3 linked regions of the Callithrix jacchus genome follow. The protein of the gene in region 1 interacts with the protein of each later gene in a biochemical or structural test. Links are inferred from orthologs where the notes say so. Each region holds a gene or a part of one and is shown on either strand. Other genes may lie near its edges.

Region 1 (10,689 bases):
CATACCCACCATGTGCAGCTTTGCTGAGTATTTGCCAGGTGACTGGCCGATTCACTCACCTCTCAGAGCCTCAGCTTCCTCATCTGTAAAGTATGACCAGTCCCACCTGTCTCCCAGGCTGGTGTTGAGGTTGAAGTGAGAAAGTATGCAAATACCTTACTGAGGGTGCCCAGGCCCTAGCAGGTGCTCTGCAAACATCAGGTGTTCTGCAAACATCACTTCTCTCCTGGTACACTCGCTCGTGATTCTTTTATGTCTCATTGACCATGGGCTCTGATTCCCATTAGTCAGTCTCTGTTTTTCAGTGCTTTGCCTGAATGTGTGGGATGTGGAAGAGCAGTTCAGCAGCAGTGGCTGCCCTGCTAGGGCTCCTGCCCATGGCCTGGGCCCCTTGCCTTTTCCCACAGATCCTGGCTGCAGCTCTGACCGAGTGTCACCAGAAATCCAGTGCCCAAGGCAAGCCTCTGGCCCTGAAGGTTTTTGTAGCTGGCAGAAACCGTCTGGAGAACGATGGCGCCACTGCTTTGGCAGAAGCTTTTAGGGTGAGTGGTTTCTGTCCATCCTGCCCCCGCAGCCCTGAGGTGCACTCGGCACAGTAAGCTGTTAGTCCTGGATGTGGATCCCATGGCAGGCACTCAGCCGAGAGACCTGAGGCGTCATATGCCCTCTTCAAGCCTGTTAGCCCATTCGAAAATGGGCCAGGATTCCTGTCATGCATTTCTGGAAAGATGTGTGGTTGCTCCCAAAGGTGAGCCAGCAGCAGCCCCTTGTGAGGCTTCAGGCCACTCTGACCAGGGAGTGTCATCTGCCAGGCCCAGAATTGGTGGAGCAAGATGCCAGGCGCGGTGGCTGACGCCTGCAATCCCAATACCTCAGGAGGCCAAGGCGGGTGGATCACAAGGTCAAGAGATCAAGACCATCCTGGCCAACATGGTGAAACCCCTACTAAAAATACAAAAATTAGCCAGGCATGATGGTGGGCGCCTGTAGTCCTAGCTACTCGGAAGGCAGAGGCAGGAAAATTGCTTGAACCCAGGAGGTGGAGGTTGCAGTGAGCCAAGATTGCGCCACTGCATTCCAGCCTGGGTGACAGAGCAAGACTCTGTCTCAAAACAAAAATACAAAAATTAGCTGGGCATGGTGGCACGTAATCTCTGCTACTCAGGTGGCTGAGGCAGGAGAATGGCTCGAATCGGAGTCAGAGGTTGTGGTGAGCCGAGATCTCGCCACTGCATTCCAGCCTGGCGACAGAGTAAAACTGTCTCGGGGAAAAAAAAAAAGTGGTGGAGCAAGGTGACATGAGTGATGAGTGCTCCCAGCCCCTGGTGTGGGGCACAGAGAAAGAACTTACTAGACTTCCTAAGACAGGGAGACAGGCAGGGGCAGCCACAGGGCTTAGGTGCCAGATGAAGTGCTCTTGGGTTACCTTGTCCCTGCTCCTCTTCCATTCTCCTCGTCTCCCCCCTCCTCCTCTCCCCAGCTCCCTAGGACATTGTTGAGTCTCCAACCATGAGTGCCAGAAGAAGGTCACACTTGCCCATGACAGAACTGAAAACTTTGGGGTCTGTCTCCCTCTTCTCTTTTTTGTTTTTCTGGGACAGAGTCTCACTGTGTCACCCCTGCTGGAGTGTAGTGGCACAATCTTGGCTCACTGCAACATCTGCCTCCCAGGTTCAAGCAATTCTCCTGCTTCAGCCTCCCAAGTAGCTGTAATTATAGAATTACAGGCGCCCATCACCACACCTGGCTAATTTTTGGTTGTGTTTTTTTTTTTTTTTAGATGGAGTGTGGCTCTGTCGCCAGGCTAGTCTGCAGTGGCATGATTTCAGCTCACTGCAACCTCTGCTTCCCGAGTTCAAGAGATTCTCCTGCCTCAGCCTCCCAAGTTGCTGGGACTATAGGCGTGTGCTACCATGCCTGGCTAGGTTTTTGTATTTTGGTATAGTTGGGGTTTCACTGTGTTGGCCAGGATAGTCTTGATCTCCTGACCTCATTATCCACCTGCCTCAGCCTCCCGAAGTGCTGGGATTACAGGCATGAGACATTGCATCTGGCCTAATTTTTGTATTTTTGTTAGAGACAGGGTTTTACCACATTGGACAGGTGGTCTCGAACTCCTGACTTCAAGTGGTCTTCTGCTTGGGCTTCCCAAAGTGCTGGGATTATAGGTGTGAGCCACTGTGCCCAGCCACTCTTCTCTGAATTTAAATGTTTTTTTTCAACAAACAGTATCCTAGGAGCATTGCTCATACTGGGCTGAATGGGCACCCTCTCCTGCCTGCCCACAGAGTTTGTCTGTAGACACTCCTTGCCTACTTCAGTGCCAAGTGGATAGCACAGAGATCTGCCTCGTATCTCCCTGCACCCCTGGCTGCAGGGGAGCTCCTGCTGCCTCCTCAAGAGCTGGAGGGGCCTTGTTGCCATCCTTGGATCCCTCCCTGCCCTCAGCTTGCTGTCCTCTGTGCACTGGGAATGGGGGCGATGCTGTGGTTGTGCTGAGCCTTCATAAGGTGTCCTCTGGTGGGCTTAAAATGGGTTGTTTTTTCTTAGACGGAGTCTTGCTCTGTCACCCAGGCTGGAGAGCAGTAGCACAATCTCGGCTCACTGCAACCTCTGCTTCCCTGGCTCAAGTGATTCTCCTGCCTCAGCCTTCCAAGTAGCTGGGACTACAGGCACCCACCACCATGTCCAGCTAACTTTTTGTATGTTTTTTTTTTTTTTTTGAGACAGAGTTTCACTCTTCTTGCCCAGGCTGGAGTGCATGGTGCGATTTCGGCTCACCATAACCTCTACCTCCCTGGTTCAGGCGATTCTCCTGCCTCAGCCTCCTGAGTAGCTGGGATTACAGGCATGTGCCAGCATGCCCGGATAATTTTGTATTTTTAGTAGTAGATACAGGGTTTCTCCATGTTGGTCAAACTGGTCTTGAACTCCCGACCTCAAGCGATCCACCTGCCTCAGCCTCCCAAAGTGTTGGGGTTACAGGCGTGAGCCACTGTGCCCGGCCAATTTTTTGCATTTTTGGTAGAGACGGGGTTCCATCATGTTAGCCAGGATGGTCTCAATCAGCCCTCAATCTCCTGACCTTGTGATCTGCCCACCGTGGCCTCCCAAAATGCTGGGATTACAGGCATGAGCCACTGCACCCAGCCAGAATGGGGGTTCTTAATCTCCTCCAGTCTGTGGATAGAATTCAGGGGTCTGTGAACATGGATGAGAAAAAAATAGCATCATTATTTATCCCTAGTGTAGCTAAAATGTATAGTGTGGCTTTTGATTATGAATGTAGACAAGAAATTTTACAGCATTAGAAAGGCTTGTGACTACCCACATAATACATGAGCCCATGTGGCCCTTGAATTAAAAAAAAAATTTTAATTTATTAAAATAAATTTTAATTTAATTTATTGAGACAGAGCCTCACTTTGTTGCCCAGGCTGGAGTGCAGTCTCAGCCCACTGCAGCTTCAGCTTCCCAGGCTCACGTGATTCTCCCACCTCAGCCTCTCGATTAGTTGGGACAACAGGCACACGCCACCATACCCATCCAACTATTTTTTGTATTTTAGTAGAGACAGGGTTTCACTGTGTTAGCCAGGCTGGTCTCAAACTCCTGATCTCAGGCAGTCCACCCACCTTGGCCTCCTAAAGTGCTGGAATTGCCTGCATGAGCCACTGTACCCAGTCTAAATTTTTTTTTTTTTTTTTTTTTTGAGACGGAGTTTCACTCTTGTTGCCCAGGCTGGAATGCAGTGGTGCATTCTTGGCTCACCACAACCTCCACCTCCTGGGTTCAAGCGATTCTCCTGTCTCAGCCTCCCGAGTAGCTGGGATTACAGGCATGTGCCATCACACCCGGCTAATTTTTTGTATTTTTAGTAGAGACGGGGTTTTACCATGTTGGCCAGGATGGTTTCGATGTCTTGACCTCGTGATCCACCCACCTCGGCCTCCCAAAGTGCTGGGATTACAGGTGTGAGCCACCTCACCCGGCCAAATAATTTTTTAAATAAATAGAAAGAAAATATTGGCCGGGCATGGTCGGCCAACATGATAAAACCCCGTCTCTACTAAAAATACAAAAAATTAGCTGGGCATGGTGGTGTGTGCCTGTAATCCCAGCTACTGAGGAGGCTGAGGCAGGAGAATTGCCTGAACCCAGGAGGCGGAGGTTGCAGTGAGCCGAGATCGCGCCATTGCACTCCAGCCTGGATAACAAGAGCAAAACTCTGTCTCAATTAAAAAAAAAAAAAGAAAAGAAAAGAAAATATTTTGACTCTGTCCGTAATAGAAATCATAGATATTTCATCTCAAGTTAAGTTTTTGCTGATATATAGAAATATTTCTCACTACATCAAAATTGCAGTAATAGTGGACCCACCCCTAGACCTTGTTATTTAGTGCATTAACAAGAAGTTCGTATATTACTACAGAATGCATTTGGAGTTTTTTCCTAAATGTTTAATAACTGTTCCAATTGAGTTGATTTCCTTTGTAGTTCTCTATAATTTTTCTTAAAACTAAAAAAAAAACATTTTGTGAGGAGTGGGCCCAGGGGTCTCACCAGACTGCCTGAAAGGTTCAGAGCACAGAAAATATTCAGAAGGCCTGACCTGGAATGTGCCTCAGTTGGTCTTTCTGTATTTGTGAACCACCCGCTCCCTTGCTTACCCCATGCAGCAGTGAGCACTGGAGGACAGCAGAAGGTGCCTTGGCACAGTTATGCCAAGTCTGTCTTCAGTCCTGGGTCACGGTGGAGACTCGGACATGGCCCTCTCCTCCAAAGCTCAGGGGGCAATGGGGTGCAGACAGGAATATACACTTTGAATGTAGGCAGGGTGAGGACCACTGTGATAGAGGAGGGAACAGGTGCTTCGGAGGCACAGAGGAAAAGCACTGGACCCTGGCTGGGGGAATCGAGGAAGCCTTCCTGTGGGAGAAGGTGACCGAAACAAGAGCCATAGAATGCCGGTGAGTTAGCTTGTCAAGAAAATGCTTTCCTGAAATATACAGTTGCAAAAAAAAAAAAAAGAAAGAAAGAAAATGCTGATTGACTAGGCGTGGTGGCTCACGCCTATAATCCCAGCACTTTGGGAGGCTGAGGAAGCTGGGTCACCTGAGGTCAGGAGTTCAAGACCAGCCTGACCAACATGGCGAAACCCCATTTCTACTAAAAATACAAAACTAGTCAGGTGTGGTGGCATGTGCCTGTAATCCCAGCTACTCGGGAGGCTGAGGCAGGAGAATCACTTGAACCTGGAAGGCGGAGGTTGTGGTGAGCTGAGATGGTGCCACCGCACTCCAGTCTGGGTGACAGAGTGAGACTTTGTGCCACCGCACTCCATTCTGGGTGACAGAGTGAGACTTTGTGCCACCGCACTCCAGTCTGGGTGACAGAGTGAGACTCTGTCTCAAAAAAAGTAAGAAAAAATGCTGTCAAATAAGGAGATAGAGTGTTCCACATGGAGAGAATGTGTATCAAAAGGCCAGGATGAGATAGGGCAGCATGGGCCAGGGAAGACCTTCCCATCCCCAGAGAAGGACACGGCATGTCGAAGGCGTTATGTTGTGTAGGTGGGTAGGGTAGGAGGGCCCCAAGAAAAAAAGGTCACATGGAGCTGTGTCATCCCAAGAAGGGCCATGAGTGCCTGCCTACCAGAACCAGGATCCCTGCCATGCAGAGGACCCCAGAGTGAAAACAAGAAATCAACCTGCTGGATCTAGAGCTGTGTGACCCTGGGCAAGTCACTGCACCTCTTTGATCCCTAGTCTCTTCTTTTGTGGGATCCTATCCCAGGTAGTAGGCCTCCCTCAGGAGGTTGAGGAAAGTCAGATGCAGCCATGCCCCAGAATCCCACAGATGAGCCCCTGCCGTGCTGGTGGCAGCCTGTTCCTGGGCCTGCTGGATGTTACCTGGCACTGGGGCCTCCACGCTCTGTCTCCTCTTCACAGGTCATTGGGACCCTGGAGGAGGTCCACATGCCACAGAATGGGATCAACCACCCTGGTGTCACTGCCCTGGCCCAGGCTTTTGCTGTCAACCCTCTGCTGCGGGTCATCAACCTGAACGACAACACCTTCACTGAGAAGGGCGCTGTGGCCATGGCCGAGGTGAGGCAAGTGTGGCAGAGCCAGGTTGGGCCTCACCAGACAGAGGCTGCTGCTGCCTTTGCAGGAAAGCTGGGGCTGTGTAGCAGGGACTGCTCTGTCCCCTGGGTGTATGCCCCATGGGTCCAGCTCGTTGAACCCATGGGTCCCTGAACAGGGTTGCTGGTCACGAGTAACCCATGCAGCTCTGAGTGTTCATGCCGCCTTCCTCCTGAGCTGCCTCTGTGGCCCCCAGCGGCTGGCGCTGGTTTTGTTCTCAGGCTGCACAGGAGCGGGCTGCTTCCCACCTCTATTTTCCTCGTTGATTTGTTCAGCAGCTGTTGTTTGTTTTGTTCTTTATTGCCACTTTTTGAGATGGCCAGGCTGGTCTTGAACTCTGGGCTCAAGTGATCCTCCCACCTCAGCCTTCTGAGTAGCCTGGGATTATAAGCGCATGCCACTGTGCCTGACCCAGCAGCTGTTTTTTGAGCCCCCATTTAGTGCTTGGCTTTGTACCAAGCAAGTGCAAGCCACACAGGGTTGAGCCAAAGACCCTCCTTCAAGGAGATCCTAGCTCAAGGAGGGGAGGGAGGTGCTGGCGGGGACAATGCTGGGTCCTGAACGCAGTGGATACTTGGCTGCCAGGACCCTGTGGCCCCACAGAAGGCTAGTCTGGCTGCTTATGTGTTAGCAGAGATGTGTGCAGGTGTTGGGAACACGTCAGAAGGAAGTTCAAATCAGACTTAGGTCAGGCTTCCTGGAAGAGATCACATTTTGGCTAAGGTACAGTACAAGTGGTCTTTCTCCGGACAGAAGGTGGGAGGTGGATGTTTCAGGCAGAGGGATTAGCTTATGTGTGGAAGGCCTGGAGACTTGGGCAGGACTGGTCTCAGGAAGAGTTGTGGCCGTAACATGGGGAGTGAGGTCAAGGGGGGACCCAGAGGCCAACAAGGAGAAGACGGCAAAGCTGGCGACTTGGGGAGGAGGACAGTGTGTGGTGGCTGGTGTGGGAAGTGACTGTGTGGGGCCACCATGGTGCTTTCTGAGGGCTGGAGTGTGGCCTGCACCCTCATTCTCTGTACCCTTACTTCCCCCTCGCAGACCTTGAAGACCTTGCGGCAGGTAGAGGTGATCAATTTTGGGGACTGCCTAGTGCGCTCCAAGGGTGCCGTTGCCATTGCAGATGCCATCCGTGGTGGCCTGCCCAAGCTAAAGGTGCCAACCTAGACCCTGACGTCCTCCTGGGGTCTGTGGGTGGTGGGTGACTGGGGGTGCAGGGGTCTGGTCTGAAGCTAAGTGGGCCTGCGTCCATATCCCAGCTCCTCCACTTCATGCCCTGTGATGCTGTGTGAGCTCCACACCCCTCAGAGCCATGGTTTTTCATTTATAAAGTGGGCAGGGGGTGGTGTGCATCACTGTGGTATAGTTGAGTAAACACACACTGTGTGGCACATCGTTGGCTGCAGGGTTATTCTTCCTGCCCACTATGCCTTGGGAAACAGCACTGGAGGACAGAATATGCCATATCCTCACTTGGGGAAACTGAGGCTTAGAGTGGGACATGGTGTCCTGGCCCAGGTTTCTGCCTCCCTCCAACCCTTCCTCTTATTTTCAGGAGCTGAACTTGTCATTCTGTGAAATCAAGAGGGACGCTGCCCTGGCTGTTGCTGAGGCCATGGCAGACAAAGCTGAGTTGGAGAAGCTGGACCTGAACGGTAGTCGGATGGGGGAGTCCTCTGCACAGGTCTGGCAGGCTGGCCCTGGCACCCCGGGCTGACTGCTCTTCCCTCCCCTTGAGCAGGCAACACCCTGGGAGAAGAAGGCTGTGAGCAGCTCCAGGAGGTCCTGGACGGCTTCAATATGGCCAAAGTGCTGGCGTCCCTCAGGTAGGGAACTAGGGTGGGTGGCCCCAGAGGTCAGGGTTAGGCCATTCCTTTGTTTCTTTTTTTTTTTCCTTGAGATAGAGTCTTGCCCTGTTGCCCAGGCTGGAGTGCAGTGGCACGATTTCTACTCACTGCAACCTCCATCTCCCAGGTTCAAGCGATTCTCCTGCCTCAGCCTCCCAAGTAGCTGGGATTATAGGCAACCACCACCATGCCCCTTTATTTGTTTCTACTTGTATTTATTCAGAAAGGTTGGTTGCACTCCTATTATGTGCCGGGTTATACACTAGGCATCAGGTCTATAAGGGTGGGACAGTCAGGGTTTCTGGCTCATGGAGAAGAGATAGAATGAGTTGTGCATTCAAAAGAGGAGCTCATACGGGCTGAGTAGAGCCACCCTCTAGAGCGAGGGGAATCGGGAGGCCTCTGAAGGGTTGAGGCCAGATCTCATCCTGATGTGGTGGGGCCTGGGCAGTGATGGGAGTGGGAGGTGGGGGCTGCCAGAAGGGGCTGCGTTCAGGATTGTTCTTAAGATACTGACTCTAGAAAGGAAGAGATTCTAAGGCCTGGGGAGTCCACCTGGAGGCGAAGGTGCGGTGGGGGAGCTGCCACTGCCTCTGGATCCAAGTCCAGTTGGGCCATCAGCACCTGGCTCCCTGTGCCCCTCTCATCCCCAAGTCAGCCTTGTTTGTGGGTCAGATACTCAGTTGTGTCTCCTCCGTGCTAGGCCCTGAGCTGAGGCTGGGAACTGGGGACTTGGAGGTGGGCTGAACCTCACAGGTCCAATGGTCCCTGGGAAATGGACTAGCCTTCCTGTGGGGCAAGGACACCCCTACTCTTCTTCCTCCCTCATACCTGTAACTTCCTGAGGTCATGTGGATGTAGGTACCCCTGCCCTGGCATCTCAACCTGGGGAATGTTCCTGCCAAGCCCTGGGCTCTGGGTATGACAAATAAAAACAAATGTCTTTGTTTTTTGTCTCCCCTGGGGCTCCTTGAGGACAGGGACAAGGTCTGATTCTTTTGTGTCCATAGCATGGATTTCCCTGGTGATCCACCTGCCCCTGTCCTGGGAGCAGGTGCTCCCACCCCACCTAGGCTCCCTCCCACCTGGCTGAGGTGAGGTCTCTGGGCTGATGGAGCCAGGCCTTGGAGCCAACCTGGGCTGCTGGGTAGAGAGGATATGCTTCAGCCAGCTCTGTCTGCAGTGATGACGAGGATGAGGATGAGGAGGAAGGAGAAGAGGAAGAAGAAGAAGCAGAAGAGGAGGAGGAGGAAGATGAGGAAGAGGAGGAAGAAGAAGAGGAGGAGGAAGAGGAAGAGCCTCAGCATCAAGTGCAGGGAGAGAAGTCAGCCACGCCCTCACGGAAGAGTCTGGACCCTAACACTGGGGTGAGTTTCTGTCGTTGCCATGATCAGAGCCCTGGTCCTGAGAAGGTGAAAGCCTGAGGCGTCTTCACAGTGGGGTAGGGGTGTCTCCCTAAGCATAGTAGCCACAAACATTTTTTTTTTGATTACATTATACTGACTTGAAAATGGTCCCAGTGTAATGATAGTTACCTATATTTCTTTCTTTTTCTTTTTTTTCGGGGGGTGGGGGGGCAGAGTCTCTCTTGTCACTGAGGCTGGAGTGCAGTGGTGTGATCTCGGCTCACATTTACAACCTCTGCCTCCTGGGTTCAAGCGATGCTCCTGCCTTGGCCTCCTAAGTAGCTGGGATTATAGGTGTCCACCACCACACCTGGCTAATAGGTACGCCCCAGTTCAGGTTTTTCTCTGGCTACCTTAGCAGGGCTTACCCAGTGTGGACTGTAGTTCTACAGGGACCTACTTTAGACCCCATGTATCTCTTTAGTCATTTCTCGGGTACTGCATATTATGACGAGAATCTACTTGGCTGTAGCAGATTTTTTGAGTCCTAGGTAGGTGGCTTCCCCCTGACCCCAAAGGCTCCTGGACCAAGAGCCAGCCAGGGCCAGCATCTCTGGGTGATGTTGATAGGTGGGAAGGGAGGAAGAATTCTAGACTTCGCGCCTAGATGGGCTAGAGTGAGGGGTGGATGTGCTGGGTGTGGGGATGGGCACAGCTGTGTTGGGAAGTCTGGGGCCTGGAATTCTATAGAGCCTTCGTGCCTCCACTTCCTAGGAGCCAGCTCCCGTGCTGTCCTCGCCACCTCCTACAGATGTCTCTACCTTCCTGGCTTTTCCATCTCCAGAGAAGCTGCTGCGCCTGGGGCCCAAGAGCTCTGTGCTGATAGCCCAGCAGGTAACAACTACACCTCGACCCCCATGCTATACGTGCCGTGGCTTCTGGAGCTGCTAGAGAAAAGGGACGAACAACTCAGGGACTTGGGGGTGTGACGCTGTCGGCTGCGGGCAGGGAGGCTTGGCCTGCCACTGTTATGACACGTGCAAATGTCCAGTGTATTTATAAGCCTCTGGGGGTTGTAGATCTTCCCTCCCCACTCCACCTACAGAAAGTGCAGCCCACCAGTTCCCAGTGCCGACTGGGGCTCGTAAATTTCCTCAAGACTGTTGCGGGTGCACACCACACCCACTCCTTGGCTTCTTGCTGCATGTTCTGTCAGCCCAGCTGCTTCGAGAACTAGCCTATTGCCCAGGGCCCCTTTGGAAGTGACCTGCCTGTTACAGGATGGCCGCCCTCACTCCAGCTTCACTTGTTGGTTGGCTTACTCAGAGATGATCACTGGGGTATCTGTTT
Region 2 (11,162 bases), on another chromosome or scaffold:
TTTGCAACATGGTAGGAATATGATATTCGACACTGATGCAAATGAAATTGTCATTGCCTTGGTGAAAATGTTATACTACTTAACAAACAAAAAAATGTAGTGTAAAATGAAGGAAAATGTGAAAATCCCTACAAATGCTTGTCCAAAAGAGCAGTCTTTTGAGTTCCTCAAAAAGGTTCTCTCTTTGAATGCTGGGCGTGGTGGTTCACGCCTGTATCCCAGTACTTTGGGAGGCTGAGGCAGACAGATCACTTGAGGCCAGGAGTTCAAGACCAGCCTGTCCAACATGGTGAAACCCCGTCTCTACTAAAAAATACAAAAATTAGCTGGGTGTGGTGGCATGTGCCTGTAATCCCAGCTCCTCAGGAGGCTGAGGCACAAGAATTGCTTGAACCTGGGAGGCAGAGGTTGCAATGAGAGGAGATTGTGCCGCTGCAGTCCAACCTGGGCCACAAAAAAAAAAAACCTCCACCTCAAAAAAAAAAAAAAAAAAAGATTTTTCTCTTTGGGCACTCCTTTTCAATATATTCAACGTAAATGGATTAATGATACCATTTTTACTAGGTGAGTGTGTTTGGGCAAGTTGCTTCAGTGCTCATTCTCGTTTTCCTTTTTTTTTTTTTTTTTTTTTTTGAGGCAGGGTCTTTGTCATCTAAGCAGGAGAGCAGTGGACTGATCATAGCTCACTGTAGTCTTCAACACCTGGCCTCAAGAGATCCTCCTGTTTCAGTCTCCCAAATAGCTGGGATTACTGGCATGCATCACCATGTCTTACTAATTTAATTTTTTTTTTTTTTGTAAGGACATGGTGTTGCTATGTTGCCGAGCTGGTCTTGAACTACTAGGCTCAAGCAATCCTCCCACCTTGGCCTTCCAAAGTGTTGAGATTATAGGTATGAGCCCTGGTGGCTGTCTGTCTTTTGGTTTCCTAATCTGTAAAACTGAGGATAATAACAGTACCCTTACAAAGTTGTGGGAGAATGAAGTTAGTTAATACAAGTGAAGTGCTAAAAAAAAAAGCGCTTTGGAAAACAGCAAGTATTTGTTAGCTATGGCTATTGTTATCAACACATTTTTCAAGGCAAACTCGTGGTTACACCTATCACCTGAGGTTTATGACTTCGAAGTCCATCTTCTCTCTCTTTTTAAAAAATAATTAAGGAAATATTATTATTTTTTGAGACAGAGTCTGCTCTGCTGCCCATGCTGGAGTGCACTGGCACGATATCAGCTCACTGCAACCTCTACCTCCTAGGTGCAAGCAATTCTGGTGCGTCAGCCATCCAAGCTGGGATTACAGCTGTGTGCCACCATGCCCAGCTAATTTTTGCATTTTTAGTAGAGATGGGGTTTCACCATGTTGGCCAGGCTGGTCTTGAACTCCTGGCCTCAAGTAATCTGCCCAACTGGGCCTCCCAAGTGCTAGGATTACAGGCATGAGCCACTGCACCTGGTCCTCTTTTTGTTTTAGAGACAAGAATCTCATTCTTTTCTAGAGGTGGGATGCAAAGGCATGAACATAACTAATTGCAGTGTGCAACTCCTGGGCTAAAGCGATTTTTTCCTCTGCCTTTGGAGTAGTTGGGCCTCAGAACGGTGCTGAGACTTCTGGCTTCCATCAGGATCTTTGTCCTACCATTTCATCTTCTTACTAGACTATCTCCACATAGATCTATAAATGGCACCTCAAGTGAAAGAAATCAACTACCTAAAATAGGATATGCCACTCCAAACTTGTTTTTCTTTACGTGTCATTTCTGTTAATGTGGGTCACACACATGGGTAAACTCAGAATTATCTTTTTATTTTCTTTTATTCACATCCAATATGGTTGAAATAAAACAAAAGGAAATGCTGTTTTTTCTTTTTTAGAAAGGCAATATTTGTTCATTATATAAAATTTAGAAAATATGGAAAGGATAAAAAATTATCCACAAACAAAACTGCCCAAATTTCCAGTTAAAAATGTCAGTGTATTTTATATTTGCCCATGTAATTAAGGCTATACTGTTTAAACAAATGCTTTTAAAATCTAAAAGATTCTCACTATTAAAAACCTTTTGTTAAGTCTTTGTCTCAAAAAAAAAAAAAAAAAAAAAAGAGTCTTGCTCTGTTACCAGGCTGGAGTGCAGTGAGGTGATCTCAGCTCACTGCAATCCCTGCCACCCGAGTTCAAGCGATTCTCCTACTTCAGCTTCCTGAGTATCTGGGACTACAGGTGTACGCCACTACACCCAGCTAATTTTTGTATATTTAGTAAAGATGGGGTTTCACCATGTTGGCCAGGATGGTCTTGATCTTGACCTCGGGATCCGCCCTCCTCGGCCTCCCAAAGTGCTGGGATTACAGGCGTGAGCCACTGTGCCAGGCCAAGTCTTGTTTTAAAAGTAAGATTTTAACATCCAAATTCCCAAAATAAGACATTTTTGAAGATTTGTTAAATACTGATGGCTCAACATCTTGATATTATTACTGTTAAATTTTGGTATCTCCTGTTATTCTGCTAGTGAAATATATATAGATCTGGTGGACTATTCCTTTTTTTTTTTTTTTGAGACAAGGGTCAAACTCTGGTGCCCATGATGGAATGCAGTGGCGCTATCATAGTTAATTGTAAACTGGAACTCTTGGCCTCGAGCCTCCCAAAGTGCTGGGGCTACAGGTTTGAGCCACTGTGCCGGGCAAATGGCTATTACTATAGACACAGTTGATCCTTAAATAACATGGTTTGAACTGCCTGGGTCCACTTATAAGCCGACTTAAAATACAGTATTCGAGAGGCCCGCGTTTAGAGAGTACCCTCTCTAAGAGTTCTGCAGGACCGAGTGCGGGATTTGAGAATGCGCGGATTTTTGTTTTGTTTTTAGATGAAGTTTTACTCTCGCCCAGGCTGGAGTGCAGTGGCGCAATCTCAGCTCACTGCAACTTCCGCCTCCCACGTTCAGGCGATTCTCCTGCCTCAGCCTCCGGTGTAGCTGGGATTACAGGCGCCCGCCACTACACCCAGGTAATTTTTTGTATTTTTTATTTTTTGAGACAGAGTTTCGTTCTTATTGCCCAGGCCGGAGTGCAATGGTGTGATCTCGGCTCACTGCAACCTCTGCCTTTCGGGTTCAAGCCATTCTCCTGCCTCAGCCTCCCGAATAACGGGATTGCAGGCGCCCGCCAAATTTTTTTTATTTTTTATTTTTAGTAGAGACGGTGTTTCGCCATATTGGCTAGGCTGGTCGCGAACTCCCGACCTCAGGTGATCCGCCCGCCTAGGCCTCCCAAAGTGCTGGGCTTACAGGCTTGAGCCACAGCGCCCGGAAGAATGCGTGGATTTTGGTATAAGCAGGTGGTTCCGGAACCAATCCTCTGCCGACGGATGTGTTTAAAAAACTGTAATTGTTCAAAATTTAGTATTTGTGGTCTACTTTTTCATATATGCACTTTAAAATTTATTATTTCTTTTAAAAGGTATTAATTTAAAAATGTATGCTTCGTATTCACACACATGTCCAACGCAACGTATTTAACCAGTCATCTCCAGAAACGTTGTTCCACTTTACAAGCTCACAAAATCGGCCGCAGTGCTTTTTTCTTCCAATGCATAGAGCATTTATAATTTAAAACAAGCAACCAAAAGGCTTAAGAGCTCAGCACGCAAACTTTTATCTGTTGGAAACCTACTACCTTAGCGTGATGGACGCTGGCGCCGGCTACCCAAGACCAGGCTCCGCGACCAGGAAGTTGCCAGGAGCTCCGCTATGTGCGGCGCGAGCGCCGACGTCGCCAACGTGGCGCACAGTGCTGACGCATACGCAAGTGCGTTAGACTGGTCCTCCGCCGGCGACGGCACTGCGTCACTGGCTTGAAGGCGCTTTGCTCTTGGAACTGGCGACCGTTGCGGGGTTGAGTGTTTGACTCCCGCGCCTCGGAAGCCAGCTTGGCGGCGCGATGAGGCGCAGCAAGGCCGACGTGGAGCGGTACATCGCCTCGGTCCAGGGCTCTGCCCCGTCGCCTCGAGAGGTGAGTGGGTCTCGAAGAAACCTACTGTCTCGACCTGGCCCGGCTGCGGCCTCCCGCGGCTCGGGCGTCATGGCTCCTGACAAGCACTGCTCCGTGGCGCGCTCTCTTGAGGCGCTGGCCGGCCAGCGCGGCCCTGTGGGCGGCGTGGCGCTGGCGAGTGCAGAGGAGTCCTGGCTGGGCCGCGGCGGGCCGGCGCTTCCTCTTTCTTCCGGCCTGTTCCGGACGGTCCTCGCTCGTGGGCCCACCCTGGCCCTGGCTTTCTGGCCGGTCGCGCACCGCTGGGACCGGCGCGGCCTAGTTCTCTGGGGCTTGGGCACCAAAGTCTCGGATGCTGTATCCGGCGGGGTTCTTTCCATCTCCCGGACATTTACTTTACATGCTGCGGCGGAGGTCGTACCTCCTTGGCCTGGTGGAACCCAGTGAGGACTGACGCAGCTCCGGGGTGAGCTTTGGCGACTCTGACGGGTGACATCTCAACGCAGACATTTGCCACGGCTCGACAGCGCAAATGATACGGGAAGTCCCCTTGCTTTAAGGCTGAGGTGTTTGTCGCTGTCCCTTTATAAGGGTCTAGCTCCACTCTTCATACTCACCCCTGTCCCCCGAACCCAGAACACTTCGGTAGCTGCTTTTGTGTTTTGTTTAAAAAAAAAAAAAAAATTCTAGATTTCTTGCAAATTTATGCCTTAGAATTTTTAACTTTTTCCACAGATGTTCTTAGGGTATTTTTCCTTTTTAAAGGTAAATAATATGATATCTTTTGGATTCAGTAAGACTTTAGTATTTGGATGTAAAGAGTGATGGAAGAAGCTATTTAAAGGTGAATGTGCACAGAATCTTGAGTCAGTTTGCTTTGGCTTGATGAATAACCACAGCGCTGTCTTTTGTAAGTTGGATATTTGGTACAGGTTACACTATTCATCCATAGATGGAGTTGTAACTGATAGAATTTGATAGGGTGATCCATTTTAAACATTTAGGGTTGTGTGTGCTGGACACATAGTATTAAAATGTTAGCTGCAAGTCACTATTTTTATTGTTGATGTCGAAAGGATTTAGCGGGGCGTGGTGGCTCACATCTGTAATCCCACCACTTTGGGAGGCCGAGGCAGGCAGATCACCTAAGGTTAGGAGTTCGAGACCAGCCTGGCTGACATGGTGAAACCCCGTCTCTACTAAAAATACAAAATTAGCCGGGTGTAGTGATACACGCTTGTAATCCCAGTTAGGAGGCTGAGGCAGGAGAATCTCTTGAACCCAGGAGGCGGGGGTTGCAGTAGCTGAGATCTGGCCTTTGCACTCTGGCCTGGGCGCAAGAGCGAAACTCCATCTCAAAAAGTAAATAAATAAAAGGATATTTATTCAAAGTCTCTACTGTGCAAGGGCCTAGGAGAATAAAGATCTGTAAGGAAGTTTTTTTTAAAAAAGAACGGCTTGCGGGCGGGCCCGGTGGCGTATGCTTGTAATCCCAGCACTTTGGGAGGCCTACCGGCGGATTGCCTGAGGTCAGGAGTTTGGGACCAGCCTGGCTAACATGGTGGTCCCAACTCTGTCTCGACTAAAAATAAAATTAGTCAGGCGTGGTGCACGCCTGTAGTCCGATCTACTCAGGAGGCTGAGGCAGGAGAATCGAGGCGGAGGGAGACTCCGTTAAACAAACGTAATGGAAAGCCCTGGGTGATCCTGATTATTATAGTAGCACAGTTGTGTCTTTTATAATAACTAAGCATAGATTACCTTATTTTGCACTTCAGCAACCCTGTGGAAATTGAGACCTGTAGAGATTAAAGATACTTGAACCCTGTGGATATTGAGAACTGTGGAGATTAAAGATACTTGTTCAGGGTCAAATAGGTAGCGCAGCAGAATTTTGGCATTGGGTCCTGGGAACACTGAAGTAAGTTACAGTCTATTCCTCCAGAGAAGAGGACTATCTATTCCTACTTGTACATTGTAATTTCAAACTGCTAGCATAGTCATAAATGTGGACATAGTGATAGAGTCTAAAACAGACCTTATTGAGGGTACCTGTAACTCCTGAAATTACACTTTAATTTTTACGTTATTTTTTTTTTTTTGAGATGGGATCGATCTCTTGTCATTTGCTGGATGCAGTGGTGCTATCTCGGCTTACTGCAATGTCCGCCTCCCGAACTCAAGCCATCCTTCTACCTCAGTCTCCTGAGTAGTTGGTACCACAAGTGCACCCATGACACCTGCTATTTATTTATTTTTTGCATTTTTGGTAGAAACTGGGTTTCACCATGTTGCCCAGGCTGTTCTTGAACTCCAGGGCTCACATGATTCCCCTGCTTCCACCTCCCAAAGTGTTGGGATTACAGGCGTGAGCCACTGCACAGGGCATTAATAATAATAATAATTATTATTATTTTGAGACAAGGTCTTTTTTTGTCTCCCAGGCTGGAGTGCTGTGGCGGGATCATGACTCACTGCAGGATTGACCTCCTGGGCTCTGTCCATCCTCCCACATTAGCCTCCCAGGTAGCTGAGACTACAGGCATGTCAGCTACAGGCATGTGCAACCATGCCTGGCTAACTTTTTTCTTTTTTTTTTGAGATGGAGTCTCGCTCTGTTGGCCAGGCTGGAGTGCAGTGGTGTGATCTTCGCTCGCTGCAACCTCCGCTTCCTGATTTCAAGCAGTTCTCCAGCCTCTGCTTCCCGAGTAGCTGGGATTACAGGTGCACACCACCATGCCCAACTGATTTTTGTTATTTTTAGTAGAGATGGGGTTTCACCGTGTTGGTCAGGCTGGTCTTGAATTCCTGATCTTGTGATCTGCCTGCCTTGGCCTCACAAAATGCTGGGATTACAGGTGTGAGACACTTTGCCCACTCTGATTTTTTTTAATGCAAGCTTAAAAAATAAAAAAGCAAGCTTAGAACCTTTCCGAGATTCTTAGTGGGGACGTTGACTTCCAAAAGATTAAAAACCACTGGTTTAAACAGAAGTTAGAGTGTTCTTTCAACTACATTAACTTTTCCATTAAAGTGGAGTGGTGACAGAATTTTGGGAATTAGTTACTATGACCAGCTCTCTCTTACACTTAAAGAGTATTTTTTTTCCCAAACAAATTGAAATGGATTTTAGTGGAATATGGATTAGCTAGTGAGTAACTTTTCAACATGTGAAGCTATTCCATAAAGTTAGGTTCGAGTGAAATGATGAAACAGGGTGCTTTGGATAGAAGGTAAAGAATGGAGTGGGAAGAGGCAGTGGCTGGGAAGACTATAAAGAGGTTAGTATTCTCCCCCAGTTTGGCAGAGGCTGGCTATCTGTGAACTGACTATGCTTTCTAGGATGTCTTCGTTCTGAAGTGTTGATGTGTCTGTATATCATATCTTTCTGGTCTTCCATTGTCCTTTCATTTCATCTCCTCTTTGTTTTGCCATTTTTCTACTCCCTCACATATGCTTTTGCCCTTGTTAAAAATACTTTTTGCCTGTAATCTGAGCACTTTGGGAGGCTGAGGTGGGTAGATCACCTGAGGTCCGGAGTTCGAGACCAGCCTGATCAATATGGTGAAATCCCGTCTCTACTAAAAATACAAAAATTAGCCAGGCGTAGTGACATGCACCTGCAGTCCCAGCTACTCGGGAGGCTGAGACAGGAGGATTGCTTGAACCCTGGAGGTGGAGGTTGCAGTGAGTGGAAATGTGCCACAGCACTTGAACTTCAGCCTGTGTGACAGAGTGAGACTTGTCTGGGGAAAAAAAACTTCTTTCTCTAGTTTTTCTTTTTCCAGATGGTTTCTGTTTAGTTTTTCCAGGTTCTGTCAGGTTAGCTTCTCATTCTGCAACTGATTCCTACTCCCCAGAGGCTATTTATTTATTTATTTATTTTTTGGGCTTAGTGATCGTCCTACCTCTGTTTCCTGAATACTTGGGTCTACAGGCAGGCACCTTTGACAGCTCTTAGCTTTTTTTTCTGCCCTTGATATCTATACTTCATGCTTCTGAGTCACACACATACATATTTTTGTTATTTTTAATTCCCTGTCTACCATTTTAGACAGTTTCTACTGGCTTTTTACTGTGCTCCTCCAAAACTGTCCTTAGACACTTTGGTTCGCCCCTTATTCTTTCAGTACTGTTATTGCAGTTTTTGTTAAAATGAATATTTAACATTTATGTAAATACCATAAGGTAAATATTTTTGTATTTGAATTGCCCTTATTGTGCAGTTTTGTTTTTCCTGGACTGAATAATTGCTTTAGTTTTTGGTTTGCTTATGTTGTGTTACTGCTTGTTTACTTAAACTCACCAATTTAAACCCTCAAATGTGGTCAAACTGGTCACATAATGCCATCAATTTCAGCTTAAAACATTCATCCATCCATTCATTCATTCATTCATTCATTCATTCATTCATTTATGTATGTATATTTTGAGACGGAGTCTCACTCTGTTGCCCAGGCTGGAGTGCAGCGGCACAGTCTTGGCTCACTGCAACCTCTGCCTCCTGGGTTCAGGTGATTCTCTTGCCTCACCCTCCCGAGTAGCTGGAATTACAGGTGTCTGCCACCATGCCTGGCTAATTTTTTGTATTTTTAGTAGAAATGGGGTTTCAATATGTTGGCCAGGCTGGTTTTGGAAAATAATGGTATGCCTGCAAAAAACATCTTTACTTAGTTTGGTTGATAGATTGGTTATCAAATTCTGAGTTTGAAATAATTTTTTTCTCAATTTTGAGAGCACTGTTCCATTTTCTAGAAGTTCTGTTGTTAGAAGTCTGATGACATTCTTGTTCTTGGTAACTAAAGATTTTCTGGAAGTGTCCTTTCAATTGGAAAACTCATTTCTTTCAGTTCTATAACATTTCTTGTATTATTTCTTTGACCCTTTCTTTTTTTTTTTTTTCCTGATATTTACCTGAAAGTTGGAGTTTCTCATTTGGTTCTCTAATTTTTCTCTTTCTTTTCCTCTTCTTTTGTTTGTTCGGTTTTTTTGAGAGATTTTTTTACCTTTATGTTCTAGGGGAAGGGGACTGGGGAACTCATGGTTTAATATCTAGACTTTTCCTTATTATCCTGTGTAATCACTGCCTTCACCCTTGTTGGGACTCCACAGATTTGGAGCTGATCAGATGGATTTGTTGAGAATAGCAGCTTTTTTGGAGGATTTTAGTGGGAGGGGGATTCAGTTGACTGTGCAAGATAGAGGTAATGTGGCGTCTCTTAGGGTCTAACTGTTTCTGTTTTCAGCCCCACATCAGTTCTTGATATTTAGCAGCTTAAGAGATTTCAGGTATTTGGTTATTAGGACATCTGCTGTCATTGAAAGAAGTACTGCTTGAATCAAGTATTGTCCTGTTTACGTAACATGGGCTCTGCTTCTTCTTAGCTGTAGATCTTTAAACAAGGCATTTACCTGCTTGAACTTCCTTTCCCTTGTAAAATTAGCAGGTAAGAGGCAAAATATCATATAGAAGAATAATTTATATAGTTGTTTAATTATCTTAAGGTTGTCTAATAAGATAGTTGGAAGCAAAGAAGGTAATGGAGTTATTTTTCTATTTGGTTTTGCTGTTGTACCTTTTAAGAATCTGTTTCTTTATTTTAAAAAGGAGGAACTGACTGGGTGCGGTGGCTCACGCCTGTAATCCCAGCACTTTGGGAGTCCGAAGCAGGTGGATCACGAGGTCAAGAGATCGAGACCATCCTGGTCAACATGGTGAAACCCCGTCTCTACTAAAAATACAAAAAATTAGCTGGGCATGGTGGCACGTGCCTGTAATCCCAGCTACTCAGGAGGCTGAGGCAGGAGAATTGCCTGAACCCAGGAGGCGGAGGTTGCGGTGAGCCGAGATTGCGCCATTGCACTCCAGCCTGGGTAACAAGAGCGAAACTCCACCTCAAAAAAAAAAAAATAAAAAGTTAGTTTAAAAAAAAAAAACTTCATTGGCCAGGTGTGGTGGCTCACGCCTGTAATTCCAGCACTTTGGGAGGCCAAGGCGGGCAGATCACGAGGTCAGGGGATTAAGACCATCCTGGCCAACATGGTGAAACCCTGTCTCTACTAAAATACAAAAAACTAGCCGGGTCTGGTGGTGCTTGCCTATAGTCCCAGCTGCCCCAGAGGCTGAGGCAGGGGAATCCTTTGAACCCGGGAGGCAGAGGTTACCGTGAGCCCAGATTGCACCACTGCACTCCAGCCTGGTGACAGAGCAAGACTCTATCTGGGGAAAAACAAAAAAAAAAACAACAAAAAAAAACCAACAAAAACAACTTCATTGAGATACAATTTGCGTACCATACAACTAATCCATTTAAAGTGTACAATTAATTGATTTTTGTGTATTACATTAATTTTATATTGTGGAAGAATAATATATAACGGTTTGCCATTTTAACCGTTTTTAATTGTACAATTTGGTGACTTTAACTACATTTATAGTGTTGTTCAGACATCACCACTGTCTGTATTCAAAATTTTTTCCTCACTCTAAACAGAGATTCTGTAGCTATTTAGCAATAACTCTATAGGCCCTCCTTTCTGCAGTCCCTGGAAACCTCTGCCTACTTTGTCTCTCTGGACTGCCTTTCTGGATATTTCATATTAATAGGATTACATAGTATTTGTTCATTTGTCTTGTTCATTTCACTTGTGTTTTCAGGGCTCGTATGTTTTGTAGCATATGCCAGAATTTCATTCCTTTTTATAGCCCAATAATAGGCTATTGTATATATATTCTACATTTCATTTACCTCTTCCTGTGTCATTGGATACCTGGGTTGTTTCCTTCTTTTGACTTGCATGTAATGAAGTCAACACTGGTGAACAGTATTGAGTGCCTGCTCTGTTTTCTTGATTATGTACCTAGGAGTAGAATTGGCGGATTGTATAGAAGAAACACTGTAGCTTTTTGAGGAACCCCTAAACTGTCTTCTATAGTGGCTGCACTATTTTACATTATGTAAATGTATGAAGAGTTCCAGTTTCTCCACATCTTTGTCAACACTTAGTTTCTATTCTTTTTGATTGTAACCACTGTAATACCTGTGAAATGATACCTCATTGTGGTTTTGATTTGCATATTTAAAGACTCATGATGTTGAGAATATTCTCGTGGTTATTGGCCATTTGTGTATGTCCTTACAGAAATGTTTATTCAAGTCCTTTTTTTAAATTTT
Region 3 (10,689 bases), on another chromosome or scaffold:
AGGGTTCTCTGGGAGAAATAAGCTCTTCTTTCTCATCAGCACATGCATTCCACAGCACTTAGTCTTCACTTTGTCCATTCTGTTGGGTAAGGTGCCACCTCTCTGTTTGCTTTCTGTCCTCTAAATATTAATTGACTCCTTGTTTGCTTATTTCCCTTTCTTTGTCCTTTTGGACTCGCATCTTTTTTGCCCTTTACTATTATTTGATAGCATTTGTGTAGGAGGGCAAAGTGGGAAGGAAGAAGAGGTGTCTGATCTGTCTGAAGATTACGGAAGTGTGTAATCTATCTTGGCTGCCATGTGTCAGTTTTGAGATGTAAGTGTTGATGATGAGGTGAGGAAAAGAGCAGCAGAGCATGGAGTTGGCCATCCTGCTCTGGACCATGGACCTGCTTTAGGCTGCTTGGTGTATATGATTTCATCTAGCTGTTCATACCTGCTTTTTCCCATGCCCCAGCAGTGAACATAGAGTCGTACCATTGTTTTGTTTAAACTGTTAATTGGTTGCACTGTAGTATATATATTTTTTAACTGTATGAATAAGTTGCTTACCTTAAAGATTCATGTGCTGATTTGGAAATGGGTCCATTAGGTAAAACAGCCTTTTAATGGAAAATGTGTTTTGAGTTCCAGTGGGCTAATTTATGAGCAGAATTTATAATATGGATATTTCCTGTATTCTTCAAAAGTAAATTGAACTAAGTGTATGAAATTTCACTTAAATTTTAAATAACAAGGTCTAAGTCCTTTGTGTTTTTATTATTTTGAAATTTGTATAACTTGATTTGTTTGTGTCTATGGAATTTAGAAATAAATTTAATATAGTTTTTAGGGATATCCTAAAAGTAATTGGGTTCATCATGTATCATATGTAATTAAGACCATACAGCATTCTAAAAACTCATTAAGTTCCTTGGAAACCTTGTCTCAACCCACATCTCTTATATCTCCCCATTGGAAAAGAGTTCATAGATAAATTCAGATGAATTATGCCTAGTGGACCCAAATCTGCTACTTTACTTTTTTTTTTTTTTTTTAAGACAGAGTCTTGCTCTCTTGCCAGGCTGGAGTGCAAGTGGTGCAATCTCAGCTCACTGCAAACTCCACCAGCCAGGTTCAAACGATTCTCCTGCCTCAGCCTCCTGAGTAGCACGTGCCACCATGCCCCGCTAATTTTTGTATTTTGAGTAGAGACAGGGTTTCACCGTGTTGGCCAGGATGGTCTTGATCTCTTGACCTCATGATCTGCCCTCATTGGCCTCCCAAAGGTCTGGGATTACAGGCATGAGGCACTGTGCCCAGCCCAAATCTGCTACTTTTATTTAAATAAGTTGTTTAGGAGTTACATTCAGAGCACGGTGACATGGAGCACCAAGAACTTAGAATCAGATTTCATTTTACTTCACAAACTCTTGAAAGGTTACTGCCACAATCTCTTTGAGTGCAAGGCTAAGTATGCCTTGTGGGACAGGGACACAATGTTTCTCTGCTCTCTTTGGGTAGCAGAGGTTAACACAGTTTCCTTGTGCTTTCTTTCTCTCTTTTCTACTCTTTTCCTAAGGGTAGATTTTTAAATAAGAGGATATTAACCCCATGTTACATGAATGCAAATAGGTCTTAGCTTGAAATCTCCTGTTCACTCTTGGTTCCAATTTGCTTAATTCCTTTCATCCAGTTTTCCAGTGGTTGAGGGAGAACCTAACTTGGTCTCCTTAGCTCTGAGCATCATCCTTCACTGACACTTCAGGCATTGTGGGTAGGAAGAAGTCTGAGAACAAAACCTAGGGTTAAAGTTCTACCCTCAACCGAGAGGCTGGAAATGAGACACACTGGAATTGTACGTAGGACACTAGAGTCTAGGGGAATCAAAGAGGAACAGAAAAAGGAAGGGGAAGCATATTATTTGATTGACTCCAAGATGCTACTATTTGTAAGTTGCACCATTTAAAAAATATGCCATTAAGAAAGAAATGCTGGCCGGGCATGGTGGTTCATGCCTGTAGTCCCAGCACTTTCAGAGGCCGAGGTGGGCAAATTACCTGAGGCTAGGAGTTTGAGATCATTCTGGTCAACATGGCGAAACTCCATCTCTACTAAAATACAAAAATTAGCCTGGTATGGTGGCACATGCCTGTAGTCCCAGCTACCCAGGAGGCTGATACATAGGAGTATTGCTTGAATCGGGGAGGGAAAGGTTGCAGTGAGCCAAGATTGTTCCACTGCACTTCAGCCTGGGCAACAGAGCGAGATTGTCTCAAAAAAAGAAAAGAAAAGCAAAAAAGAAATGCTGCCTATTTAACTGTGTGCCATCAATGATAATATGTATCCCAACTTCAGAGATGAGAGATGTTAACGTATAGGAAAAAAACTGGAATTCATTGGGCATTTGGGACTTAAAAAGTTTCATAGTTATAGAAAGGAGTATGGAGGACACATTGAGATTTTTGACATGATTGTAAAACTCTACATTATGGCTCTGTTCTACATCATTTCACGCCACATCAGGTCCTGGACAGCTTTGGTGTACTGGTTGATCTGATAGGCCAGTGTAATTAAGAGAATATTTTAAAACTTAACGTATAATTGCTCCAATTGTTGTCTCTTTTTTTGATGGTTGAGAAAATCAAATTTCTATTGAATCTCATAGCAGACTTTGGAGGTTTCTGACAAGTCATTTCTTACTACCTAGGGGAATGTGCTTGTACTCAGCTGGCATCTGAGTATCTTCTACATCCAGGGAATTGGGCTGAGTGTGGATTTTGGTTTTGGCAGTTTTTACTTTTATTAATTTGCAAAAGAATAGAAGATTTGTAATGTACGAAAATCATAAAAGTATGTCAGGTGGTTTTACATGCGTTATTTATCACGTTAATATGTCTTAAAACATTTTCCATGTGTAAGCTCATGTAAAAGCAGGAAACTAGTGAGATTTCATAGTCTAGAGATCAAGAGGTTTTTTAGTAACTAGCCTTAGAAGGTATATTGAAAGGTATTATATAAAGTCAAGGGACTAAATGTTAGTAATTAAAGAGTCAGGCTGGGTATTGGTGGCTCATGCCTGTAATTCCAGCACTTTGGGAGGCCAAGGCAGGTAGATCACTTGAGATCAGGAGTTTGAGACCAACCTAGCTCACATGGTGAAACCCTGTCTCTACTAAAAATACAAAAATTAGCCGGGCATGGTGGCATGCACCTGTAGTCCAGCTACTCCGGAGCCTTGAACCCAGGAAGTGGAGATTGCAGTAAGCTGAGATGGCGCCACTGCACTCAAACCTGGGCAACAGAGCTAAGAGTCCATCTCAAAAAAAAAAAAAGTCAGGTGCCTAAAGCCTACATACCCCACTGTGAGAATACATCTCAAGTTTTACTGTGGATCATTGATTCAGACATACAGTTCACATTTTAACCTGTCTGAAATGGAAATACCTGAAATTGATGGCATGATCGAGTTTCATTGGCAGCATGTTTTCATACTGGCATATGTTATCATCTGAAATCTTAGGTTTGATGAAGTAGGTGTGATTTTTAAAGTGGGAAAGAGTTTAGTGATGTAGAAAGTTTGCAGGACTTGATTATTGTCTAACAAAATGACTGACAAAGATTAACTTATAAATTATCCCTTGTCCGTCTGAGTAATCTGCAATTTGGACATGGATTCAAGTTCATTTGGGCTGAATCAATTTTGATAAAGTAAGTTTTGACAGCTGTTTAAATATTGGGAAAAGGGGTAGTCAACATTTTTCTTACATCCTGAGAGCTTTGTTAAATTTAGTTATTTTAGACCCATTGGGCTCTATTTTCTGGTTCAGCATGTTGCTGTAATGGTAAAATATATTTTTGAAATTACAGTTGTCTTGAAGTTGATAATAAATTGACCAATGTATTGTATTTTGTCTCTACTTAGTTACAAGTTGGACTTTTCCTAAGTAGAACTTTTAATTTGACAGACCCCTCTGCTTCCTGAAATGACTGAAACAGGCCAAATTAATGCTTATTTTGAATATCTTAGGTTTGTTGCTTTCTTTCACATATTACCTACCCCACTCAGCAAAAGCAATTAATCCGAGCACTTGATGCCAAAGAAAATTCTAAAAGGTCTGGATTTTTTTCCTTAGGTTTTACAAAGTAGCTGCCATGAGATCTTTAAGCCAAAGCAGCTTACAGAGCAGTTTTTGTTTAATGGTCTGTTAGAGTCTGACTGCATGATGACTTCCAACTGTCTGGATGCCATTCTGAAAAGGGTTTAGCGCCACATGCTTCTCACAGTTCTCCATTTCTGATGAAGGCACACATCTGGAGGTGCTCTAGAGCAGTCCGTGCGGTTAGCCTTGAAAGTGCCATGTATGACTAGTTCACCTCAGTCATCTTTTGTATAACCAGACACACGGCATTACATTTGTTTAACGTCTTTTGCCTTTCTCTCCCACAGAGTATCTCCCATATTCATGTTGCACTTTGTAGAAGGCTTACCACAGAAGGACTTGCAGCACTATGCATTTCACTTTGAAGGCTGTCTTTACCAAATAACTTCTGTAATTCAGTATCAAGCAAATAATCATTTTATAACATGGATTTTAGAAGATGATGGTAAGTGTTTAGAGGTTTCCTTTTAAGACAGTTGGCATGAAAACGAAACTCGTGTGTGTGTGGGGGGGGACTTTCTGTTTTTTTTTTTAAAAAAAGACAAACTTTGCCCTGGCTGTTTCTCTCTCCATTCTCACCTTGGCCTTCTGCTCCTTGCACCTATTAAAAATGGTGGTTTTAGTATCCTTCCTAATTTCTTTCTTTCCTTACATCATGTATTTTGGGTAAACACAGGTGCATGGGTGTATTTCTTTTTTAGACAAAGAATGAGATTGCATACTACTATTTGCTTACAGTTTTCTTCCTACTTAACATCTTTGCTTTTATTTTTTAGACATAGTTTTCTAAGACTGTTATTACACATTAGACTTATATAGCCCTTCTGTAATTGTGAAATACATAGATTGCTAACAGCTACTATCAAGATAAAGTCTTTATTTAAGTAATTGAACTTCTTAATAGAAAGCTAAGTAAGCACAGTTCATGGATTTGGGGAATTTTTGCCTTCTGTTTGTCTGATGTAGTGTAATACTGAATTTGTTTTTCTCATAATGTGCACTTTGTCTTAGACAAGATAACTCAATGTCCTTAAAGGGTTGTATCAGGCCATTGATAAGGGCTCACTTTGATATAACCATATAGCAAGTGAGACACTCCTTCACACTTGCTATTTTCCTCCTGGGGATGGTTTGAATGGATGACACAATACTGTATTATAAAAGCATTTTACAAACTCTAACTTATATTATAAATGTAATTATTACCTTAAGGTTTTACCCTCTTTCAGATTTGAGAGGAAGTAGTTCTTCACAATATGAACCAACTTATTTTAACTTTTTTTTGCATTTCAAAGATTGATCAATACACTTCAAGTTCAGCATGGTTCCTAACCCTGACAGCATATAAGAATCATTTGGTTAGCTTCTAAACATTTCCAAGTTGTACCCTAGACCACCCTTGGTGATTAGGCCCAAATGTCAATATTGGGTGTTTTTGGTATTGGTTTTTGACCGGCCTTCCTTCCTTCCTGCCTGCCTGCCTGCTAGCCTGCCTCCCTCCTCCCTCCTCCCTCCCTCCCTCCCTCCCTCCCTTCCTCCTTTACTTTTTCTCACTTTCTCTCTCTCTCTTTCTTTCCTTCTCTCCTTCTTTCATCTTTCTTTTTGAGACAAGGTCTCACTATGTTGCCCAGGCTGTTGTGAGACTCCTGGGCTCAAATGATTCTCCTGCCTCAGCCTCCTGAGTAGCTGAGACTAAGGCACATGCTATGGCAATACTATTTTAACATTGTTTTAAAAGCTTCCCAGATGATTCCAGAGTGGGTCATGTGGTAGAGAACCACTGACACAGGCAAACAAAAGATACATAAAGTTTTCTATTTAATGGGAAATAGCAGGTTCAGGTAGTAGGTAAGGGTGTAGCCACATTAACCACATGCTTAATGAACAGTTTTGTTTTGTGTGTATGTGGGGATTTAGCAGATCTCTGAGCATATTTTGTTTTCCCTTTTGAAACTTAACCAGAATTTATGTCTGTTATGTGACTTATGTTCTTGGTTTACTTTTTTTTGTATCAGATCTTATATTTTATTAAATATTTTAATTTGGTCTTTAGCTTTTTCCCTTTGGGGAATGTGTAAGGAAAGATCTGTTTTTCCTTTCTTAATCTTTGCATTCCTCAAAATTAGTTCTTTTTTTTTTTTTAGACAGAGTCTCGCTCCGTTGCCCAGGCTGGAGTGCAATGGCACAATCTCAGCTCACTGCAACCTCTGCCTCCCAGATTCAGGGGATTGTCCTGCCTCAGCCTCCCAAGTAGCTGGAATTACAGGCATGTGCCACCACACCAGGCTAATTTTTGTAGTTTTAGTAGAGACAGGGTTTTACCATGTTGGTCAGGTTGTTCTGAAACTCCCAACCTTATGATCCGCCCGCCTCAGCCTCCCAAAGTATCGGGATTACAGGCGTGAGCCACTGTGCCCGGCCTCAAGATTAGTTCTTTATAGGAAGCCTTTGAAGCCTGGTGGCAAGTACTTATTTTCTCTTATAATCTTAAGATATGGTCTTTCTCAGCATGAAAAAGTGACTATGGTAGATGTGTCAAATGAGTTTTCTTTTTTTTGAGACAGAGTCTCACTGTGTTGCCAGGCTAGAGTGCAGTGGAGCAATCTCAGCTCACCACGACCTCTGACTCCCTGGATCAAGTGATTTTTCTGATTCAGCCTCCCATGGAGCTGGGATTGCTGGCATGTGCCACCACGCCCACCTCATTTTTGTATCTTTAGTAGAGACAGGGTTCCACCATGTTGATCAGGATAGTCTCGACCTCCTGACCTCGTGATCTGCCTACTTGGCCTCCTAAAGTGTTGGATTACGGGCATGAGCCACAACACCTGGAAATCAAATGAGTTTTCTCTATGTGTGCTCTTAGAAATCTTTCTTCAAAAACGAATAGATGCATATGGACAAGGAAAAGAAACTGAGCACACTGTAAATATTTAAGATTAAGTATCTGTGAACATGTTTTGCAACATAAAATGACAACCACTATGTTGGTCACTTCTCTACTGCTAAAACAATGTTTTCTGAAATAATATACTCCTTAGGAAAAAGACAGTGCTTTGGGTGCTCACTATTATAATCCAAGGAATAGGAAATGTTTTGTAGTAAGTATGATGGTGTTTGACATCATGATCTATTATAATCCAAGGAATAGGAAATGTTTTGTAGTAAGTATGATGGTGTTTGACATCATGATATATTAATTTATTACATTTGGTTTCGGGAGGCAGGGGTGGGAGGATAGCTTGAGCCCAGGAGTTCGAGACCTGCCTGGGCAATATAGCGAGACCCCGTTCTCCACAAAAAGGAAAAAAAAAAAGACAAAAAAAGAAATAGAGTAAGCTACGTATTTGCTGTGCCACAATTACCATGACATTATGCTTTTTGTATTGATTTTCTGTTTCATAGATGTGTGTAGATATTGATTATATAGTGAAATGTGGATTGTTTTGCTAAGTCTCTAATGAAAGTACAGATATTTGTTGATTATTTATTAAGAAAGGTTGTTATCTAAGCCTGTGGTTAGCTTTTTTCAAATTATCATGTAGTAGTAAGTAAAATGTAGAGAAATATACCTTCTCTTGGCTAGGCACGATGGCTGATGCCTGTAATCCCAGCACTCTGGGAGGCCGAGGTGGGTGGATCACCTGAGTTCAGGAGTTCAAGACCAGCCTAGCCAACATGGTGAAACCCCATCTCTACTAAAAATACAAAAATCAGCTGGGTGTGATGGCACACACCTATAATCCCAGCTACTCGGGAGGCTGAGACAGGAGATTGCTCCAGCCTAGGAGGCGGAGGTTGCAGTGAGCCATGATTGCAGCACTGCACTCCAGCCTGGGTGACAGAGTGAAACTCTGTCTCAGAAAAAAAAAAAAGAAAGAAAGATACCTTCCCTTAACCTCACACCGCCTATTAGCACCTAGCCACCTTTCTTTACTTCTCAGCTGTACTTTTTATATTTTTTTGTTGTAGTGGTAAAACATATATAACTTAAGATTTACCACTGTAACATTTGTAAGTGTACAATTCATTGGCATTGAATACATTTACAATGCTATGCAACCACCGTCAGCACCAGAACTTTTTCATCAAGCCAAACAGAAACTCTACTCATTGAAAAATACCTCCGCATCCTCCCATCCCAAACCCCTGGTAACCACTATTCTCCTTTCTGTCTCTGTGAATCTGTCTATTATAGATACCTTATAGAAGTGAAATCATACATTATTTGTCCTTTTGTGTCTGGCTTATTTCACTCAGCACATTTTCAAGATTCATTTGTGTTGTGGCACATTGCAGAATGTCATTCCTTTCTAAGGCTGAGTAGTAGTGTATGTGTTATCCATTTATCTGTGATGGACATTTGGCTATTGTGAATAATGCTGCTCTGAACATTGGTGGACAAGGAACTGAAAGTCCCTGCTTTTCATTCTTTTTGGTGTATACCTACAAGTGGAATTGCTGGGTCTCAATGGTAATTCTGTGTTAACTTTTGGACGAACTGCCAGACTGTTTACACAGCAGTTGTACCATTTTACATTCCCACCAGCATTACACAAGGATTCCAGTTTCTCCACATTTTTGCCAACATTTGCTATTTTCTATTTTTTAAATAATATCTATCCTAATGGGTGTCTTTTTTTATTTAAGGAATGGTTTAAACAGGTTACCTTCTTATTCTTCATTCATGCTGTAGCTGACTACATAAGGGCCCCTGTCACTACTGCACCACTGAAATTGTGAAGGCAAAAGTAACTGCCAGCAACCACACTGCTATAAGTAACGGACTTTTCCCAAGTTGTGTGTTAATATTTCAGTATTTGGCAGTGCATCCTCATTTTTCAACTCTTGTCATCTATCATCTCATTGTCTCTTGACAAATGTGAAAATGCAAGGTCAGAAATAAAACAAGAATTCAAATGAATATTGATCCTTCAGGTAACAAGCTTCGTTTATCATGAAAATTTATATATATAAAACATTCTGTTTTCTGATGTTATTGGATAAATTAGGTGATAACCAAATTCTAAATTCCAAAAGTTAAATATACTCTGTCTAAGGACTTTAACATGGCAGATGATGGTGACAAGGTCAAGACCATGTTGTTGTTGTTTTATTTTATTTATCTGTTTATTTATTTATTTTAAAGATGGGGTTTCACCATGATGGCCAGGCTGGTCTTGAACTCCTGAACTCAGGTGATCCACCCACCTCGGCCTCCCAAGTGCTAGGATTACAGGCGTGAGCCACCGTGTCCAGCCAAGACCATGTTTTAGAGTCTTCTCCTTTGGTGGGTATTCAATGATAGAACAGTTGAAAAGGCAAGAAGAAAGTTAACCTAGGGTGGTGATTTTTTCATATCTATCTTTCACTTCTTTTCCCTCCTCCAGGAAGTTGGCTGGAATGTGATGATTTAAAAGGCCCATGTTCTGAAAGGCACAAGAAATTTGAAGTGCCTGCTTCAGAGATACATATTGTTATTTGGGAAAGAAAAACATCCCAAGTGACAGATAAAGAAGCCGCCTGCCTTCCACTTAGAAAGACTAATGACCAGCACGCTGTCGGTAATGAGAAATCAGTATCTTCAATGTCCTGTTCTGTGGGTGATGCGGCCTCAGCTGAAACAGCCTCAGTAACTCACCCTAAAGTTACATCAGTTGCCCATCATACTCTTTCACAGGACTCAGCTGTAACTCATGGAGATCACTTCCTTTCAGGTTCAAAAGGTTTGGTTGACAATATTTTACCTTTGATACTTGAAGAAACTACCCAGAAAACAGCCTCAGTTTCACGGTTAAATTCTGAAGCTTTCCTGTTAGAAAATAAACTTGTAGCTGAAAATACAGGAATTCTCAAAAAAAGTACTTTGCAATCACAAGAATCACTAATGGCTTCTTCAGTATCAGCTCCATTGAAAGAAAAGCTGATCCAGGACCAATTTGTGAGCATAAGTTTTCCATCTCAAGTTGTAAACACCAACATGCAGCCAGTACAGCTGAATACAGAAGGTGCTGTAAATACTAAATTTGCGAATAACACTCATGCTACTGGTCTTATACAGGGAGTGAAGGCAGTAGAAACTGAGAGGGATGCTCAGTTAAAACAATTCCTTACACCAAAAACTGAGCAATTAAAACCAGAACATGTCACATCTCAGGTATCTAATTTGAAGAGAAAAGAAACTACAGCAGATTCTCTAACCACATCTAGGTCACTACAGAATCAGTCTCTGAAAGAAAATCAGAAGAAGCCATTTGTCGGCAGTTGGGTTAAAGGCTTAATAAGCAGAGGTGCTTCTTTTATGCCACTCTGTGTTTCAGCTCATAATAGAAACACAATAATTGATTTACAACCTTCAGTTAAAGGGGTAAATAATTTTGGTGGCTTTAAAACTAAAGGTATAAATCAGAAGGCCAGCCATGTATCCAAGAAAGCTCGTAGGAGTGCGACTAAGCCTCCTCCCATCAGTAAGCCACCACCAGTTCCTCCATCATCTAATGGCACAGCTGCCCCCTTGCATGCTCATGCTGCTCCAGAAGTTTTGGAA

What was found.
Region 2: the proteins of RANGAP1 (region 1) and RANBP2 form a complex in vitro, tested with the Homo sapiens proteins (5 studies listed by BioGRID and IntAct, with this or other methods). The link is inferred for Callithrix jacchus from reciprocal best matches to the Homo sapiens genes RANGAP1 and RANBP2.
Region 3: of the proteins of RANGAP1 (region 1) and USPL1, one has a biochemical effect on the other in vitro, tested with the Homo sapiens proteins (2 studies listed by BioGRID). The link is inferred for Callithrix jacchus from reciprocal best matches to the Homo sapiens genes RANGAP1 and USPL1.

Annotation. Positions count from the first base shown.
Region 1 is NC_133502.1:192,060,193-192,070,881, reverse strand, and holds part of RANGAP1 (ran GTPase-activating protein 1), read left to right. Parts: intron 1-407; coding exon 408-542; intron 543-5,951; coding exon 5,952-6,110; intron 6,111-7,187; coding exon 7,188-7,301; intron 7,302-7,701; coding exon 7,702-7,801; intron 7,802-7,887; coding exon 7,888-7,972; intron 7,973-9,176; coding exon 9,177-9,360; intron 9,361-10,113; coding exon 10,114-10,233; intron 10,234-10,689. UniProt on the Homo sapiens protein: GTPase activator for RAN. Converts cytoplasmic GTP-bound RAN to GDP-bound RAN, which is essential for RAN-mediated nuclear import and export. Mediates dissociation of cargo from nuclear export complexes containing XPO1, RAN and RANBP2 after nuclear export.
Region 2 is NC_133515.1:20,386,635-20,397,796, reverse strand, and holds the start of RANBP2 (E3 SUMO-protein ligase RanBP2), read left to right. Parts: upstream 1-3,850; 5' UTR 3,851-3,939; coding exon 3,940-4,011; intron 4,012-11,162. UniProt on the Homo sapiens protein: E3 SUMO-protein ligase which facilitates SUMO1 and SUMO2 conjugation by UBE2I. Involved in transport factor (Ran-GTP, karyopherin)-mediated protein import via the F-G repeat-containing domain which acts as a docking site for substrates.
Region 3 is NC_133506.1:149,857,342-149,868,030, forward strand, and holds part of USPL1 (SUMO-specific isopeptidase USPL1), read left to right. Parts: intron 1-4,429; coding exon 4,430-4,587; intron 4,588-9,532; coding exon 9,533-10,689. UniProt on the Homo sapiens protein: SUMO-specific isopeptidase involved in protein desumoylation. Specifically binds SUMO proteins with a higher affinity for SUMO2 and SUMO3 which it cleaves more efficiently. Also able to process full-length SUMO proteins to their mature forms.